Mus musculus: one gene and its partner. The protein of the gene in region 2 purifies or fractionates together with the protein of the main gene of each other region. This does not show direct contact. Links are inferred from orthologs where the notes say so. Each region holds a gene or a part of one and is shown on either strand. Other genes may lie near its edges.

Evidence for each region.
Region 1: the proteins of Naa30 (region 2) and Naa38 purify together in Homo sapiens (co-immunoprecipitation; 3 studies listed by BioGRID and IntAct, with this or other methods). This does not show direct contact. The link is inferred for Mus musculus from reciprocal best matches to the Homo sapiens genes NAA30 and NAA38.

Annotation. Positions count from the first base shown.
Region 1 is NC_000077.6:69,394,474-69,397,179, reverse strand, and holds Naa38 (N(alpha)-acetyltransferase 38, NatC auxiliary subunit), read right to left. Parts: upstream 1,390-2,706; 5' UTR 1,289-1,389; coding exon 1,208-1,288; intron 1,004-1,207; coding exon 820-1,003; intron 665-819; exon of another isoform or gene 661-664; coding exon 548-660; 3' UTR 509-547; downstream 1-508. Other genes in the region: Cyb5d1 (cytochrome b5 domain-containing protein 1), read left to right, coding at 1,887-2,046, 2,132-2,208, 2,334-2,552.
Region 2 is NC_000080.6:49,185,737-49,189,250, reverse strand, and holds part of Naa30 (N-alpha-acetyltransferase 30), read right to left. Parts: intron 1,702-3,514; coding exon 1,564-1,701; 3' UTR 1-1,563. UniProt on the Homo sapiens protein: Catalytic subunit of the N-terminal acetyltransferase C (NatC) complex. Catalyzes acetylation of the N-terminal methionine residues of peptides beginning with Met-Leu-Ala and Met-Leu-Gly.

The DNA of each region.
Region 1 (2,706 bases), on a different chromosome or scaffold from region 2:
CAGGAGTAGGAAACGAATCCTCAAGACTACAAATGGGCAAATCAGAGAGCATCTCTCAGCATCCTGCCTTTTCCTTATCGCATTAGTCCATTCTTCCTGATCAGACCCCAGAGTTGTCTGGCCCTGACCCCAAAGTCACTTCCCCATTAATAGCGCAGAGAGGGCCTTGTTTCGGCTGCCTACCCAGCTCCCCTTGGGGACCCGAGCCCGTTCTCTGACCCCAGCTTAAAGGAACTGAGTGTTGCCAGGCCGGGGTGGGAAACAATGGATCTTCCGGGGCAGGATGACACCGCTTCCCGCTAGAAACTGAAGCAGGAGCGTGGGAGGGAAGATGGAGGGGCCCACCCTAGGGCCTGCTGCCTTAAGCTCCTAACTTGAGGGAGGGTTTGGTTCTTCTAGGCATTGGGGCAGGTTGAGGAAGCTCCTGAACTCTGATGAACCTCTAAGGGTGGGGTGTGCTAGCCCTCCCCTGACATTGGACCTACACACAGACACAGGCCACTTTGGTCATAGGGTTTAATGGTCTCAAAGAGAAGTGCAATTGTGGTCAGAGATACGGGCCCCCCGACAGACTCTCCCTTTGGACTTCAATAGAAACGATGTGGTGTCCTGGTACCATGGCCAGACCCAGCACACGGGGTTCGCCCGCAGAAAATGAATCTGGAAAAAAAAAAAAAAGTCAGTATCAGAACAGCAGGCAAACATCCGTCTCGCCCCCAGAAAATAAGGGGGTGCAGTAAGGCCTGCAAGAGGAAATGCCTTGCAGTGAATTTCCGCCGCATTCCCGAGGAGGTAGGTGTGTATTCCCTGGACACTGACCAGAAGGCTTGAGGAACTCTTGCGCAGAGCCCAGGATGACATTACAGTCGCGATCAGTGCACAGGAAGCAGCCGACTAGTGTCCTTCCATCTGTCATACGGATACGCATGGTCTTGTTGAGCAATGCCTCTAGTTGCTGCCGTGCACGCGTGGCCGGCGAGTCCTCCTGTTCCCCATCAGAGTCCTGCTAGGGCAGGACAAGCACTCAGACACCTAGGATCGGCAGCACGCCCAAGGAACCACAGTTCCCAGCTGCCCTCGCGGCGCTGCCAGAAGCCCGTGGGCTGCTGGGAATTGTAGTTCTCCTTTCCAACCTCGCCACCCCCTTTCCCCTCCCCGCCCGGTGTCGCTCCCCGACTGCTCGTCCAGAAACCAAGCCCACGCTAACCCCGGCGCTGGAGCTGCTCTGACGCCGACTGCAACAGCCATTCTCCTCTCGTAGTAGCATGGTCGGCCCAGCTCCGGCCATTGGCCCTGGGACCTCTTTTGGGCCTTAAACTTCCTAAGAGCGTTTTGGGGGATCGGCGCGTCAGATCTCGCGAGTGCTCCCAAGCGCTTTCGTGAGATCACAATTCCTCCTCGCCTCCGGTTCCGCCACTGCAGATCTCGCGAGATTTTATTTCATGCCAGGTCCCTACATGCCTACTGGGCTACGAGAAGAATATCGCGAGAACTTTACCTGCAATTGCTTAAACAGCTTTTAAACGCCTGAAATCTGGTGATTAAAAAACCCTCTATTCTAGTCTCCTCGTCGATACTTTCTGTTACCCCTAACTCATCTAGCCTACACTCCGTTATGAAACGGACTGTCTTCATTTCCTCTAAGAATGAATTCAACCACAGTAGGCTCGAAGCCGGAATCCGGAATGCTTCCGGTGGACACGCGCAGCCCAAACCCCGCCCTACTTACGTATAACTAACTACTGTGGCCGGTGGCCGGAAAGGGACAATGGTTTCCATGTCAGCGACAAACGCACTTCAGGTAGTTCTTGGACCTGATAGTTTTAAGATTGCGGAGGAGCGAGAAGGTAGCTGAGGGAGCCTGTGCCTCTTGTAGACCAGGAGCCATGCCGCGCCGGGGCCTAGTAGCCGGGCCAGACTTGGATAATTTTCAACGTCGGTATTTCACGCCGTCAGAAGTAGCGGAACACAACCAGCTCGAGGACCTATGGGTGTCTTACCTGGGATTTGTTTACAATCTAACACCGCTTGTCGAGGAATTCAAAGGTAAGGGACACACGGTAGGGAAGGGCTGGAGAGCTGGTTCTGGCCCTTGGGTGGCCGGCCATTGACGGCCTCTGTTTCTTTTTAGGGGACCTACTGTTGAAACCCATCCTGGAGGTCGCAGGCCAGGACATAAGTCACTGGTTTGATCCACAGACTAGAGACGTAAGTTCTGCTGGTATGGGGTCGGTGGAAGCGGCACTGGAGAGCAGAGGAGGGATGGCGGGGAATAACTCGAACTCGAAATAGTGATTGCTCCGATCCGTCTCTCCAAATCCTTGCTTTTGAAGATTCGCAAGCATATAGATCCACTCACTGGTTGCATGAGATACCGTACCCCGCGGGGCCGCTTCGTACATATCCCGCCGCCACTGCCCCGTTCAGATTGGGCCAATGATTTCGGAGTACCCTGGTGGAAGGGGGCAAATTACCAGGTGGGACGACTGTCTGCTCGGACCCGGAACATCCGTATTATTAACACTCTTGCAACGCAGGAGCACACACTGCAGGTGAGCTCTGGCGCCTGGGGACGTACTAGAGGAACCAGAAATCATTTCTGGGAGTTAACACGACAGAGGAAAGCAGATGGTCCTGGTACCCAGAGTTGGAAATTCCAGAAGTATGTTTGTATTACAGCTCCCTCAGTCTCCTTCATAGCTCTAG
Region 2 (3,514 bases):
CAAACAAACAAAAAAAGCGCAACAAACTTTCCTGAAAAGGGGCCTTTACCAACTGTTAATGGAGGTAGGGTTTTTAAAAATACAGTAATTACAGCCATAAAATAAAATTCAAACCAAGTATTAGAGTAGAAGAAAAGTATATTCAAAAGAAAAAAACAACATGAATGCCAGATTCCTATAAGCATTTTTGAGAAACTGACTCTTGTTCCTTATGAGTGCTTAGGTATCCTAGTTAAATAAATTACTCATCACAGCTTTACCAACTCAACCCAAAGCAGGGAGCTACAATTTGCTAACATTACACTGATTAGCCAAAATCCACTGTAACTAATAAACACCTTGGCTGCTCAGAAAACCCAAAGAACTCATTAAAAAAATGTTTCATCCCTCTCCTTTTTTTCTGGAGGAACAAAGCAAAGGTCCCCCAACAATCTGCTCATGAGTAAAAAGAAAATAAATGCAGCTTGAAATGGATACAATGCTCCTTGAAATTCATTTCTAACACTAAACCAAAAGTGAAGTATTTTCAGAAATGGAAGCAATGTGAATTCAAATAAAGTTAAAAAGAAAAAAGAAAAAACCCAGCTAGTTTATAGAAGCTGTTCTTCACAGCTTATCAATCATTTTGATTAAATAAGATCATACCAATTTACATTAATTTTCTATTGTTTTCAAAAATTCCCCCATTCTCAAAAAAACAAAAACAAAAAAGTGCATCCAAACCCCACAATTCCCAGCTCCATCCCTTTAAGCCATTTCTCAGTTTCCCAAGTAGGGTCAGCTTCTTACTGTAAGGGAAGAAGGGACTTCCTTCTAAAGCAAAGTACTGCCACTCACCTAGAAAAACTGTCCAAATGATAAAAATCTGAAATAATTTATTATCAAATTTAGAATTTAAATAAAAACAAGTTTGCTTGCAAAGGTATTAAAGAAAAAGAAAAAGAGCATGCATTCAAAAACTAGAGATGAAGACAAGAATACTTATCTACACAGGCACTGGCAGACGCAATTTAATTGTCATCTTTACTCATCATAAGACAAATTCCACCCTACACTTTTCATCCACTAATCACTGAGGTACCAATATTCAAGATGGAAAATTTAATATTGAAAAAATAAAACCTAAATTGAAGCTTTTCCCTCACCCCCTTCAAAAAACTATGGCAGGTTTTGTGTGAAATGTTAGTATACTTAGGAGACTTTTACAATCTACATTGGCTTCTTGAAGGAACAAAAATCATGTCCCACTTACTGGTTCTGTGATAAAATGATCACTATATAAATAGCACTGTCAGCAGACTTTGCAAATGAACAAGTCTTGGCTATTAACTGGCACATCCTGCTGGTACCAACAGAACTCTTGAAGTTTAAAACAATCTCATTTAATTCAGAACAAATGCGCCATGCCAAAGTGCAACAAATATTGTGCAACACTCAATGGACACTGACAGATAACAGCTGCATGGGAATCACTAAATCCACCTGCAAAGCAATTCTGCACAAATTGCATTGCATGCAAAAGTCGCTTCCGTGTGGGTGGAGTCGTTCCTTGCTGTCAGTTCCTCAGCGCAGCCACAGTTTAAGTCGCAGTGCGTCAACTCCATTTAAATAGTATCTGAACAGCCTCTTATCTCGAACAAAACCAAGATTTTCATAAAGTTTCAAAGCAGACTTATTTGTAATTTCTGTTTCCAAAACAACCTTCAAAAAAGAAAAAAACTTAAGTTATAATTTTACACTTAAAAGCTGAGGAAGTATATAACCAGATCAAGCATTTTGAAAGTTTAAATATTATGATAAAATAAAACTGGCATACAGAAAATGTCATCAAAATGAGAAAAGCAATTATTTTTGTAATGCTTCCATTTTTAGTAATTGAACTACATGTTTATAATAAAACAAAAATGAACTAATTTTTGTGGAGAAAAACAGGTGTCATTTAAAGAGAAAGAGAAGAAAAATCAATTATCAAAAGTTTCTAAAAGCAGCCAATATTTGAAACTATTTAGCCTGACCTCTAACTCCTGTTACTATTAACATGTCATTGTTTATTCTGATAACAACTACCATATTGGTCTACAGCAGTGGTTCTCAACCTTCCTAATGTTGCGAGCCTTATGCAGAGAAAGTTTACTGAACCTAGACCAAGGGAATTTAAATATTAGGGTACATGGTCTCCTGGAGTATGGTTAGAATAAGACTGCTGAGGGCTAGGAAGGATAAATTACTTGCTGCACAAACTTGAGAACCCTAATTCAGATCTCTATTATCCTCATAAAAGTCAGGTGTCAGGTTGAGAAGAGACGAGCAGATTCACAAAGGTCACTGATCAATCTAGCCAAACCGGCAAGCTATAGGTTAGATAAAGAGACCCTGTGTCAAAAACATAAGGGCTGGTGATGGTTAATCAGGTGAAGGTGTTTCCAGAGCAAGCCTGGCAACCTGCACTTGACTATGGGGAACCCACATCACGGTATAAGAATAGAATTGACTCTACAAGGTTATCTGATCTTCACATGTGTGACTGTGACATATGCACTCATACAGCATAAATATATACACATACAATAATAATTAAGAAAAATAAGGAGTTGGGGAAAAATAAGGCAAGAAACACAACTGAAGAAGATATGCTCCGTAGATCTCAGACTTCCAACTTGCATGCATACCACATTCACATAGATATGCCACACAAGCACACACACAAATATGCTCACACACAAAGAGGCTTAGTGCCCAAGAATTTGCATTTTAAACAAATTACCAGGTGAGATTGATGTCACTGAGAACCTGTGGTCTAGATTTTGCTCAAATCAAAACTTAACATAGGATCACAGAATATGAAGTTCCATGTGAACGTTTTGGAGTATCACTGAACTAACTCATGGCCCTGACAGCAGAGAGCTGATAGTTTTGAAAACTATGTGCCCTTCTTATTTCTACTTCCCTCTGCCTAAACACTCTTCCTTCCTAACTTTTATATATGCTGCTCTATTTGCCTTTTCTATTGACTGTCACCTGTGTCACTGAGACGTATCAGCACATTGTGCCATAGTTCCTGTCAGGGTGTCATAACCTTTGAGCATTTAGAGTGAGGGAAAAATGGCAAAGTACAACTAAACACAGACAAAGCAGAGCACCCATAAAGCACATGAAGGTCTTCCTATTCTATTTTGAATATGAATTCAAGTGACAGAGAGAAAAGATACCTTGATTTGCTATATCCAAAATCACTCAGGACCTGCACAACTCTGCATCTCAGCGAAGAGGCTCTCCACCCTACCATCCAGTTCCTCAACCTGAACCCTAGGAGTCTTGAACTCTCTTCTGTCTACTCTCTTATATGCATCCAAGCATTGAGTACTATCAATTCTCCCTCCTACATTTTCTCTTATTTTTATTCCACACTGACAGAGCCCTAAACTGCCACCAGCTCAAGAAGTCTCCCACTTTCTACAAAGGATCCTCCCATTAATTTCCTAACTAAAATAACATTGACTCTAGCCTTAAAATA